Linked DNA regions of Drosophila melanogaster. The protein of the gene in region 1 interacts with the protein of each later gene in a pairwise test. Each region holds a gene or a part of one and is shown on either strand. Other genes may lie near its edges.

Region 1 (4,338 bases):
CCGAATCACAAACAAAACGCGCAATTCCCTTTGATCGCAGATAAAGCGCTTATTTTTCTTGCCCAGCGATGGCGGAAGTGCTGCCCAAGAAGCGCAACGCCTGCGTCATCGTGCTGGGCGACATTGGACGCAGTCCGCGCATGCAGTACCATGCCCAGAGTCTTCTCGAGGAGAACTACCACGTGGACATGATTGGGTATCTGGAGACGAGGCCGCTGGAGGAACTGACTCAACATCCACGTTGCCGAATCCACGAGCTAACTGCCGTCCCAGTGACGAACCTAACACCCAAACTGCGCCTGCTCTTCAAGGCCTTTTGGCAGACGCTCAGTCTGCTGATGGCTCTCATCTCCATTGGCCGTCCCAGCTTCCTACTCGTCCAGAATCCGCCCGGCATTCCCACGCTGATTGTGTGCTATCTGTACTGTGCGGTCACACGAACCAAGCTGGCCATCGATTGGCACAACTACACGTACACAGTGCTGGCATTGGGAATGTCGAAGGGAGAGCAGAGTCCTCTAATACGATTGGTTAGGCGACTGGAGCGATACTTCGGCTCCAAGGCACACACACACTTCTGTGTGACGCGGGCCATGCAAGAGGATCTGCAGCAAAACTGGGGCATTGGGTAAGTCCTCATCACATCCATCTAAACGAAGTAAATAACTCAGCCGCGACTCATCTTTCAGGCCTGTCAAAGTTCTGTATGATCGTGCGCCCGCGCAATTCCATCCCATCGACTTGACTCACAAGCACGAGCTGTACCTGAAGCTGGCCAAAGACTACCCACAGTTCCAGGCCAAGGACGCCGAACAATCCGATGTTCTGGAGGCCACCGCTCTTACCCAAAAGCTGGCCAGCGGTGTTGTGCAGTACAGACCACAGCGACAAGCCGTGCTGGTTTCCAGCACCAGTTGGACGCCGGACGAGGACTTCGGTATACTGCTTAAGGCTTTGCAAGCTTACGAGGAGACTGCGCAAGCAGAGCCGTTGGTTTATCCTTCCCTGCTGTGTATCATCACCGGAAAGGGGCCACAAAAGGAGCACTATGTGGCGGAGATCGAGAAGCTGCAATGGCAGAAGGTGTCGGTGATCACGCCCTGGCTAGAGATCGAGGACTACCCCACTGTTCTGGCCAGCGCCGACCTGGGCGTGTGTCTGCACTGGAGCACCAGTGGGCTCGACCTGCCCATGAAGGTGGTCGACATGTTCGGCAGCGGGCTGCCTGTCTGCGCCTACGATTTCAAGTGGTAACTAATCCTGCCATTTACTATTATTACTTACTAACTTCTACAAATGGCTCTTTAGCCTGGATGAGCTGGTGAAGCACGGCGAGAATGGCTTCGTGTTTGGCGACCATGTTCAGCTGGCCGAGCAGCTGAGGATTTGGTTCGAAAATTTTCCAAAGAATCCCAGCATCCTGGAGACAAGAGCTGGTTTTCAGCGCAAAATCCAGGAGTTCCAGGAGCTGCGATGGCGGGAGAGTTGGCGCCTGATCGCGGCCCCCGTACTGGAGGCATTTCTATAGAGCATTTTGACAAAGATTTGACAATTACACGTTATGAGAGACTTCCTTTGATTGCTAATCGCTTTTTCTAGGCTAGTTACTACAAATTCTGTACACAAAAGAGCTTCAAACTTGCTTATGATGCTTATTTTATTTTTATAATCGTAGCCTAAAGATAAAAATAAATTGCTAAAAAAAGGAGATATATACAACTATTTATTCGCTTGTAAAGCGTGTTTTCTTAGGAGTATTATGTATTTCAATTAAAAAAGAAAATTCACGGGATGCAGTGCCGATTTTTTTTTATTTGAACACCAATATCGATAGTCTGAAATAAACATCGATATATCGGAAAATTTTAAAAACATCAATGTTTGACACCTCTAGTTGCGGACAACGGTCACACTTCAAAACCAAACCGGCTGCGCAAAAATTACTATAATTTGTAATTAAAATTAATCAATTTTATTTAGTTTCGAAAGAATGAGCACCGAGTGTCGGATCTGCGGCGAGCGCATCTTCACGCCGCACCCAAAGAACATCTTCGAGAAGCGCAATCATCGCATTCGGATGGCCATCGAGCAAATCACGGGCTTAGAGGTGGCGTCCCTTTTATTTGTTGTCCGGAATTATTCATAATCTATGCATTTCCAGATCGTTTTAGAGAATATGCTGCCCCAGCACATATGCGCTTGTTGTCTCCTGGACCTGACCCAAGCCGTAGCCTTCAGGCAGCGATGCCTGGAGACGCACGCAAATCTCCACCAGAGGATCTCCTCGAAGGCGGGTGTCGCCTCAAAAGGCTCCCCGGAGGTTTCGCCAGTGCTTAGTGATCCGCTGCTGAAACGGGAGGTGCTGGATGATACAGTAGACACCGAGGACGATAAGGAGCTACTGGACGATGATAAGGATTTAATGGATGATGATAAGGATTTCTTGGAGGACGAAAAGCCGATTTTAAGATATCCTCCGGCCAAAAAAATCCGGATCGAGGACCAAAATTTCCCGAACAGACAGTCCCCACGAGTCAGGGTCAAGCGGCTTCGTGTGCCTGTGGTCGAGAAGGCAGATAGTCCACCGCCACCTCCGCGGGAGCACGTCCGAAAGCCCAGAAAGCGGCGACCAAAACCCAAGGTCGATCGCTCGATAAAGCGATACGTGTGCGACCAGTGCGGTTGGTCGTTCAACGATCACAGCAACATGAAGGATCACAAGCTGCGGCACTTCGAGGAGAAGTTTTCATGCGACGAGTGCGGTCGCAAGTTCTACACCATGCCACTGCTCCGATTGCACATTCGAGTCCATCACAAGGGCGAGAAACCGTACGTCTGCAAGTTCTGCGGTATGGGATTCGCCAATAGTCCCAGCCGCTGTCGTCATGAACGGTGAGTGCTGGCCTAATCATCACAAGTCCTTATCTATATAAACCATAAAAACCTTGACAGTCAAATGCATGCCAACGAGCTGGTGCACCCGTGCAAAATATGCGGCAAACGATTCAACAGCGAGAAGGGACGGCTGAAGCACGAGGAGGGGCACAAGAGTGACCAACCGGATGTCCATATGTAAGAATCATTGAAATATACGTAGCCATAGATGTACAAACTCATATTCTTTCACAGCTGCCTCACATGCAACAAGGAGTTCAAGGAGGCGCAGTTTTTGCATCGGCACTACTCCACAAAGTATCACCGCAAGCGGGTCAACTTGCTGGTTAATGGTCCAAAAGAGGAATTCCAGTCTGAAGTCGATCCGGCGGAGTTTCCGGGATATATGGAAGAGGGGCAGGCAGAAATGGAGGACAACCAGGCTGAACTGGACGTAATGTTAGATAACATTGACGAGGAACAATATGAGGACCACGAGGTACTTCAGGATGAGGACGCAAATTTTGAGGACTTCGAGTACGAGGAAGCCATTCCCGATGGAGAGGAGCTGTACACCTAACTTTAAGCACACAAAAAAAATCGACTGTTGGCGCCACACACTCCACACTCCACACGCCACAATGCCAGGGATGCAAACTATCTGACTTTTTCGGTGGTTCAGAGAAATCCTTTGAATCACCAGCCAGCCGTACGATTAGCACCAGTGTGGAAGGAATTCAACGTCGGTCTTAGATTACAATTTGTTATAAAATATATTTTATTCTAATTGCACAGCGCGCTTATTTTAATAAAAATTATATGGAACCAATTTCAAAAACGTCAGGAATTAGCCGAACGTGTGTTTTAGCTTGAACCTCTCTTTTTGGGAAAATTTAACCTCCCGTTTATAATATATAAATTTTAAATTATAAAAACTAGCTCGATGTTCCCTGGTTTCTAGGAAATAAGAACAGTTAGTTTTTCCACACCTATCTGGTAACGCCATGAAACAGGTAATTCATACAAATTTTGCTGCTTAGAGAGAGTAAACAGAAATTCTCGGATTGCGTACGCTCTTTTACCGTTTTTATTCCATAATTGACAACATAAAATCAATTAAACTACAGCTGATTGTTTTGGGAATTCAGCGGGATAAATGATCATATGTTTGAAATGAAAAAGCCTTCGCAATGCCATTTGTGCGCCTCGTGTTTCTGTCACCTGAATCCCACGATAATTTTTTGCCTGGAAGTTCTGGCCAAGATCAAGGATCTCACTGGAATATGGGTATGTTGATGGTTTCTTGTGTGCGTGAATGGCATAACCCATTTACTCCATTTACAGTTAGAACAGAATGAACGCCAGCCGCGTCATATTTGCCCATCTTGTTTAAATGACTTGAACACATCGATTAAGTTAAAGAAGCGCATTCAACGAGTTCACAATGAAGCAACGCTGAGGCGG
Region 2 (3,883 bases), on another chromosome or scaffold:
AGCCGGAGGAAGTGAGTCCATCGCCCCACATGGGTTGTTGGGGTACTTACCCGGTTTTACCGAGTACAGCCACACACCAAATATCTTGTTTACCTATCCCACATGGGTGGCAATAGACCTGTTTACCTTTTCATAATGTGTTTTGGCACTACAAAGCGAGATTCGTTAAAACATGTGATAGGATATCAAATTTGACCTAATTTCTGTATGAAAGTCCACTTCAGTTACATAGTCCAACATGGACCACTAGCGAACATACTAAAATTCTAATTAATCACTCAGTAACCATGCTTCTAAACCAACTAACTCTTCTAGAATATAACACCAGAACGTCGTAAGCCAGGACCGCGCATGAAGAGCTCACTCCAAGCCCTGTTGAGCGATGAAGGATCACCGACGGGACCACAGCGAACCGCCAAGATAAACGTTGCACAGAAAATGGTCGTTGAGCCAGCGATCCGAGCCAATGGCATCTCGCCATTGCCCAAGAATGTTGGCAAGGAGGAAAAGTTTGAGGACTACTATACGAAAACGGAGCGACACGTTTGGAAAAAGGATGCGGAGAAGATGTTGCTGCAACTGTGGGCACAGCATTTGAAGGATTTTCGTGGAGAGTCCAAGAATGTGATCATCTACCGGCAAATGGCTAGGGAGATGAGTCAGTTTGGGCCCAGCCACACGGAGCTTAAAACCAAAATGGACAATTTGTCGCGAAAGTATAGGTGCGCTCTTATATTTTGCATACCAAAAGTTTTTATTTTTATAGTATATTAACTTTTATATTGGTATTTACAGAATAGAAGCTGAGAGAGTTCGGGAAACTGGAGTGCCATCCAAGTGGGAGCACTTTCATAAGCTTCAAGCACTTCTGATTGGCACGAAATCAGTTGATGTCTTCGAAGATATTACCGCCGAAAATCCAGGTAAAGTCGTAGTGCAATAAATGCTAGTTATGTCATTATGTCTTAAAAATACGCTAATTTTACAGCTCAAGCTTTGTTCAGCGATGAGGATTATGAGCCTGAGGAATTGTCTTCATTAAAAGACGAGCCTATGGCCGGGGACGATGGGAACGTATTCGAAAGTGATATGGTTGCTAGCAAAGCCATGAAAAGAACGCGAACTCCCTCTCCCAGTATTCCGGAAATCCCGGAAGAAGACGAGGAGGAGGAGGAGGAGGAGGAGGATGATGACCACATGAAGGATCTCTCCCCATCGCCAATTTCAAAATGTCAGACAAAACGGAAAGCATCGAACAACCATTCGGACAGACTCCTTGAAATAGAGGAGGAAAAACTGGCGATCGAGCGAGAAAAGCTGCAGGTTATGAAGGATGCACTGCTGGAGCTAAACGCATTTCACAAAGATATTGTTTATTTGCTTAAGCATAACAATCAGTAGTGTAAATATTAAGTGTTATACGTAGAAGTAGCGTGGTGTTACTTTTTCAGCAAAATATACAACTAAAACAGTGAATATTTAATGTAATATTGCTTCAACTTCAAATTAATCTAAATATATATATATATATTGTAAAAAGCTAGATTTTGCATTGTTATGATCTTACAAATTAGTTTCTTAAGTAAAAATAAATGCAATGAAATTATATTTTACTTTTTTTAGCAAAACTTTAATTACTTACTTTACTTTAATATTATAAATTTGTTTTAAATCGTATTTGTTACATTTAGTTTCTCAATTCGTAAAATGTTTTTTTATTTGTATTTTAGATATAATTTAAATCGATATCATAGAACTATCGATAGATATATGAAGCCAATACCGACCATTTCTAGAAAAATCGATATCGAGCTGCTGCCCATCTCTAGGCACATTTTGTTTATACTTTTCGAGCGTAAGGACGACATGATTGAGGCCCGCACGATGCAGGACGTATCAAAATTCGAATCCAACCAGGTGATCTCGGCGAAGGTGCTCCGCGGCGAGTACCGGCTACTACGACGCAAGCAGCGCGGCTCCGTGTGGAAGGTGTATCGGGAAATCGTGCGCACCGATGGTGCCATAATCAATGGACTCTACTTCTGCACGGGCTGCAAGCGCGTCATGCGATCCTTCAACACGTCCAATCTGCGCACCCACAAGTGCCATGTGGACTACCTGCGTACCGAGGAACTGTGCGAGGAGGGGATCGCGGAAATCCATCCCCCTAAACTAGACGTACGTACAACGACGCCATTAGAAGTCAATAGTAGTCCAAATTACCATGTCTCACTTGCAGGATTCGTTGGAGCGCCGCCTGAGCTGGAACTCCTTTCAGCCGTCCGAGTGGTCATTCCACGCGGTCGAACTGCTGCTCGAGCTTTGGGCAAGGCACTGCGTCGATTTGCGAGACTCACGCAAGCGGGTCCAGGTTATCTGGAAAATGACGGGCGAGATGAAGTCACTGGGTTTCACGTTCACGGAGATAAAGAACAAAATTGATGACATGGGCCAACAGTATCGGTAATAAGTGAATATACTTATTTAAGCATATTCCTTATCTAATATTACAATTTATTTCAGGCGAGAATCGCACATGGAAAAGACAACTGGACACAAATCCCAGTGGGAATACTTCGAGACCATGAAGATGATATTTAGTTCCGATCGTAACATAATTGACAATATGCCTCTGGATAAGTCTGGAAGTGCACCCAATACGACCAGCGAACACAATTCATTTGGCAGTCAACTTGACGAACCATTGATAGATAGGAACTACTTAAGGTCCCAAAAAGTACACCCTGGAGAAGGGGATAGCTTCGATATGAACGAATATGCGGATGAAGCACAAGAAGACGTGGATGAACTGCGTATTCTGAAGGATAACATAATCAGGGAAATCGAAGAGTCGTCCACAGTTCATTCCCAGGAAAACTATGAAGACGAGCTCGATCAACAGAATTCCAAGACCGAGGACATGAAAATTGCTAAGCGTCAAAGAGCTGCCAGAATTATGGAAATAGAGGAGGAAAAGCTGGTCATAGAGAGGAAAAAATGCAAACTGATGAAATTTTTCGTGCGAGAGATGTCGTCGTTTCATAAGGACTTCATGGATCTTCTATCTAATCCCAAAGGCGGCGCACATGCATAAATACCTGTTCGCGATTTGAGTGATTGCACAATAAAGTTCATTTCCACCGTTATTAACGTAAACTTAAAAGGCATCACATTCAACGAATTTTTAAAAAAATCATGTAACAGAAAGTTTAAATATCTCATTTCGGCAGTCACTCAATTTTTTATTTCAAATACGAATAAGTATAAAATGATTTGTGATTCATTGCGTTTTATTACAATTCAGCAGATATGTTTAAGATTTAATAAAATGAAGTCGTAATATCTTCGCCGTTTATATAATTTATTTATATATAAACCATGTATATCTGAAATTTGAAACGAAAAGTAGTGAAATAACTATTAATTTGATTGGTTTTAGAATATTTGTTGTAGATGACATTATATGTATTTTATTTTTTTAATTGTGTGGTTAATATTTTTTCTTTTCCTATTAAATTAAATTCGATACATGGTATTACATAGAATGTCGATATCGATTGTAATCGAACATCGCAACCAACTCACCGGTGATGCCACCTGGTTCGGAGCTCTGTGTTTTTAATTTTTTTTACTATGACCATAAGGATTGCGAGGCGAAATATGTTTTTCATACACGCCCCCGAGGAGGAGAAGTGCATGGAGGCGCAGCTGGACATCCTTATGAAGATCAACTCCGGTGAATATCGGCTGGTGAAGAAGAACAAGCGCAGTTCCGTTTGGAACGTCTACCGGGAAATCGCTCGTCCGGACGGCACCAAGTTGAAATGGCGATACTTCTGCATGGGCTGCAAGCGTGTGATGCAGAGCACCGGCGGCACCACCT
Region 3 (5,106 bases), on another chromosome or scaffold:
GCGTGGCGTCTGCACTTTGGTTCGACAAAAAAAAAAAAGGTGAAAAAATCGGAGAAAAATGAACGTTGGAAAGGAGGGAGGGGGGAGGGGCAGGTGGTGGCCAGGGGCAGCAGATTGAAAGTGCCTCAATCACATTGCGTCCATTTGGCGTTGCTGACTCTATTAAAAGTGTCATGCGATTCGGGCTAATCCTTCAGAACAGAGATAGTATATCTAAAGTACAATCAACCCTAATTTATTTATTTAATTATTCGTTTGGCTAAACTTTTAAAGTATACACTTTAGAACACACTATATTCTTCTTTAAATACTTTACAAACCCTGATTCTGATTTTAATGACTTCTAGCATTGACATCAAAGTTTTCATTTGGGGAATTTAACAAATTATTTTTAGCCAACTGATCTAGCCGCTGACCTTTTGCTGTGAATTACAGGGTTTTGAACCAATATCATATGATGTGGGCCAGCACGATGGACTTGCATAATCAGCTAACTGAAATTCGAATTGAAATCGAGAGCAAAAGCCCGGAGGAGCCGTACAAAAACGATCATTAGCGGAAATCTGTCTTAGTTTTTCGGTCCAGATCAAAGGCCGGACGAGATTGATGAGCGAATTTTGGATCGGGGCCAAAAGATCATTATGAACGGCTGCCTGATGCGTTTTAGCCTTTAAGTGTTTGCTTCCGCTGTGCGATAAGCGATACGAGTCGAAAAGTCAGCGTGGAAATACGATCTCTACAGATTTGCCAAAACCCCAAATGAAACAAAAAAAAAAAACAACAAAAAAAGATTTTAAGTAGACCCAGGAATGATTCCATCGTTAGCTTCACACCTCAAGTGAGCCTGAATAATTGATTTTGAGAGCGAGAAACGAGAAACGGCAAACGGCGCCTACCTGGTACCTCAGTATCTCAGCCTATCAATAGTATCTGTATCTGCAGCTATGTATCTGCGGCGCATACCGTGAAATCCGTTGGCACACAGAAAACAGTGAAAAAATCCGGGGCTGAACAAGCCGCGTCCAATCGATTTGTATCCCGTTCCCCGGCATTAGATACTACCAAACAATCCCGATGAGTTCCAATCATCATCGCCTCACAAAAGGAATCCAGCTGAGCGGCTGACAAAAGGTGTGCGCTACTGTGAATTCCTCGGATGCGAAATCGTATCCGTAACTGAATACAAATCGAAATCCGCGGCGTCTGTTGTCATTGTTTGTTTATGGCTGTTTATTGTCAATGCTAATGCCGTGTAAGTGGCTGATTTGTCCGATTACTGTACGTATGTACATATATTTTATAAGCGACAATTGGTAAGGATTTGGCAGCCGCAACTGTGAGATACAGAAATACTTGCCGTAAAGTAACTTCTTGACTTCTCTGCGCGAATGATTTATGTCGAAGTGCACGAGTGTCTGCGGGAGGCATTCATCAAATCATGACTAAGTCAGCAAATGCCTGCCAGTCACTTGTGCGCAGTGAGCCCACATATGTATCTATGAGATACTTTCGGGCTAAACTCTGCAGCGATAACTATGAAATGTTTAGCGAAGCGAATAGTGGGTGTAATAAATTGCTCTTAGTACATTGGCATTTTTCGTTTTTGGGTGCAAAAAACACTAGTTTTTCTAGAACAGTTGATTAAGACCCAATTATGCTTGTAATTCTGTATATTACAAATATTAACTTTCTGACATGACAATTGTATCTAAAGTAATGGTCACCATAATTGGCATAATTTTATAATTTCTTATACAGATTGATACATTTGTATCTCTACACCCTGTAATTGTATCTGTATAATAGAATCTACTACTTTTGGGCTATGCTGTCGATAGTTTTCTATTCGATGGATGGCAATTGTGTGTAAAGTGACGGTAAGTGTGCATAATTGAGGCCCAGTGTTAAAAGAAAGATACACTTCGATAAGAACGCTCTGACCAAATCGTATCTGTAGTGACCTATCTTGCAGATACATATCTCGAGGTGCGGTTTTGGTATCTTCGGATTTGGGATTTGAGATTTCGGCTTACCGGATTAACTTGTGGCTTCTGCAAGTGTGTGGCGATATTGCTGATGTTCATGCCCATGGCCGGAATCTGGGATCCGTAGAGCTGACCGGCGGTCGGTGTCATGTCCGTTAACATGGTTGCTGTGGATGTTCCTGCTGCGTCTCCTGCTGCTGCTGATGTTGCTGCTGCTGCAGTGGCAGTGGCAGTTGTCGTTGCTGCTGCGGCTGCTGCTGCTGCTGCTGATGTCAATTTGAGGCGCACAATGATGCTGTCTGTTTTGCTTCTGCTTTGTTTTGCGGCCACTTGGGTTTAGGGTTCGATTTTCTATTCTTTTCTTCTTGCTCAACTCAACTACTTTTTTCTTTGTTGCGACTATTGTTGCAGGCCAGGCTCACTGATCTTGGAGAGTAAGGGAAAAAAGATGTAAAGGACATGGACAAATGGATTGGCAAGCACAGCACAGCACAGCACAGCACAGCACAAGCACACACGCACTCAGAAAAAAAGCAAAGTGGGCTAAATCGCTTGAGAGCAGATTATGGCCCAGCTAATAGCCCAGATATGTATAATCCGTATCTGTATCTGTATCTTTTCTCGAGTCCGTCGGCGTTGCACTTTTCTTCACTCGGCCGTCGGCTGATGTTTGCTGCTGAGAGTTGCAATGTTTGACTGCTCTTATTGTCACTGGGATTTTGTGCCTATATATGGGCTTAATTTTTTTTTTATTTTTTTTATTCTTTATAGACTTCTTTTCTAAGGAACACAGGCAAAAAAAAAATGAAATATAAGCGATGGAAATTAAAGGAAACTCGAACCAAAAATGCACACAGTTGTTTTGTTTAGCTTGGCTGCTTGTTGGCTTGTTTATGTTTGTTTGTTTGCTTGTTGGTTTATTGTTTATTTATTTGCTTGTTTGTTTTTATGTTTATTTGTTTATTTATTTGTTTGTTTGGTGACAGGAGGCGCCTGCCAACGAAAAAAAAGTGTCGCTGCTGTATCCGCGCCAAAAGTAACGCCGTCGTCGCTGATCGTTCAAAGGCTTGCAACTGTTTCACGCGAACAAAAAGCTTGTCTAAATGTCGCCGCTGCCACCAACGCTGCCACAGTCGCTGCCGCTGCCGGCGTAGCTGCCGCAGCGGTGCGAGTGAGATAGCACACAGTCGTAAATTCACTCCAACTAACCAAAATTCAACGTGGGGGCCAACGATGCCATCAGTGCAAGCGAGACGCTCGTACAGACAATCCAAAAACAACAGCAACAACAAAATATAAAACAACACACACCACTCTCTAGAGTGGTGCGAATGGGTGCCAGGGGTAAAGATATATATATATATATATATATGCATTCGTGTATTCGTATTTTGGTGGTGTGTGCGCCTTTCCCTTCCAGTTTCATTCATAAAAACCCCGGCTGCTTTGGGTAAAACCAGTTCCCAGAGCACAGCCCCCTCTATATGAACGCTTTGGCCAATGGCAGATCGGACGGGCCTAACCTATAATTAGAGCGATGGCCGCTGTGCGAGCGAGATGGCACGCACACGGACACGTGCCCCTCGTGCCGTCTCTTTCGACAGTCCTGCGGCCCTCTCTTTCATCGCGTGCCTGCGTTAAAAACTGAAAACAAATGCACACACGGCAACAACTACTATTGCGTTCAATTAAATGTTCGCCAATGTTGTTTTCCCAGAACTGGATAGCTGAAAATCGTAGGAAAAACAAAAGGGTATACGAAATATATGTATGAGAATAGAAATGAAAATCCACGCAAGATGACAAATTGTTTTCCATTTCGACTTTTCGTTACTATCGGTCGCAGCGAAAGGGAGTTTTGCGGGGAAATGGTCGTGTTTTTACCTCGAAAACGACTAAATTAAAGAAAAGGAAATTTGGAAAAGACCAGCGAAACTTAGATTGCAACAGCTTTGCCCCCAAAAGTAGACTAACTCTGGAAATTGCGACTTTAAATGGTCTTAGCTTGAGCAAAATAAATCCAGGTGTGGTTTTATCACAGCGTTTAGAAATGGAAAATATTGCTAAATATATATAGATAGTTAAGAATGTTCGAAAATCATAACAAATACTTGGAAGATTTCACCGGATGTAAGGCTGCAGAAAAGGGTTTAACAATTGGAATTTATCTGACACATTTGAAAATTCTGTTTCAGAAAATTCACGAAATTCAAAGTATTTGTAAGATTACATAGCATGTTATTTTAGTAATATTTTAGGAAAACTAAAAACAATGTACATATGTACTTAGACTCTGATTTGGAAGATCCCGAGAAGTCGTGATTATTCGGAACCCAATCCAGATTAACCCGTGCCAGTTGGGCCTCCCACAGCTGGAAGCTGCCGGTCGAGCTGTTGCATTTCAGGGCTGCAGCTGAGAAGCGGGCTAATTGAACCACACCCCCTGTACCGCCCCGCCTCTCGCCGCCCCACCCCTCCGGCCTTTCTATGCAAACAAAACGCCCAGGCAGCCGAAAAACGCCAGCCCCTGTGAGAAAAGCTGAAAAGTCCAAAAACCAGCAACGGACTGTCGATGGAGGTGGATGATGTGGCAGTAGAGATGTGGAAGTGTGCCCAGCACAAGTTGCCTGGCCGCGGGAAATTCTCTGCACAGCGGGAAAATTGAGGAAAAGTGGGCCTTGTGCCAATCAGTATGCACGTATCGAGCATAATAACTTGATAATGAAATCAATTTTAAAGATAACCAACACCTATTATTAGTTTTAATTTTCAATATGATTATAAATAAAAGATAAATAAAAATACAAGAAATATTTGACTTTAACTTTTCCGGTGTTTTAAGCGATAACTATTGCTTTCCAATTCCTGTTTCTTACAGTGACCTGTAGTGCTGCCCAACTTCGAATCACGACCGTGCTGCAGGACAAATGCAACACATTAAGTGGTGGCGTTGGGTGGGTGGGTGTTTCGGCGGAGTGGGTGGGTCGAAGGGGTGTGCCCAAAGTCGCAGGCAAGGCCAAGCCACTTCCTGACTCCTCATGGCCATGGAATTGCGGTTGGACCTCATCAGCTGGGCAAACTGATAACGCTGACTGATTGCACGACGGCATTCCCGCTTTTC

The links.
Region 2: the proteins of Odj (region 1) and ssp interact in a two-hybrid assay, tested with the Drosophila melanogaster proteins (one study listed by BioGRID).
Region 3: the proteins of Odj (region 1) and Sp1 interact in a two-hybrid assay, tested with the Drosophila melanogaster proteins (one study listed by BioGRID).

What each region holds. Positions count from the first base shown.
Region 1 is NT_033777.3:17,806,770-17,811,107, reverse strand, and holds Odj (oddjob), read left to right. Parts: upstream 1-1,885; 5' UTR 1,886-1,990; coding exon 1,991-2,107; intron 2,108-2,161; coding exon 2,162-2,892; intron 2,893-2,952; coding exon 2,953-3,072; intron 3,073-3,129; coding exon 3,130-3,454; 3' UTR 3,455-3,701; downstream 3,702-4,338. Other genes in the region: Alg1 (ALG1, chitobiosyldiphosphodolichol beta-mannosyltransferase), read left to right, coding at 69-628, 690-1,250, 1,309-1,528; CG17801 (uncharacterized protein), read left to right, coding at 4,039-4,161, 4,219-4,338.
Region 2 is NT_037436.4:12,116,449-12,120,331, forward strand, and holds ssp (sunspot), read left to right. Parts: upstream 1-1,808; 5' UTR 1,809-1,866; coding exon 1,867-2,178; intron 2,179-2,239; coding exon 2,240-2,463; intron 2,464-2,523; coding exon 2,524-3,094; 3' UTR 3,095-3,341; downstream 3,342-3,883. Other genes in the region: vers (versatile), read left to right, coding at 1-11, 316-722, 796-923, 989-1,401; CG11560 (uncharacterized protein), read left to right, coding at 3,634-3,883.
Region 3 is NC_004354.4:9,727,605-9,732,710, reverse strand, and holds the start of Sp1 (Sp1), read right to left. Parts: upstream 3,064-5,106; 5' UTR 2,828-3,063; exon of another isoform or gene 2,412-2,827; 5' UTR 2,148-2,411; coding exon 2,034-2,147; intron 1-2,033.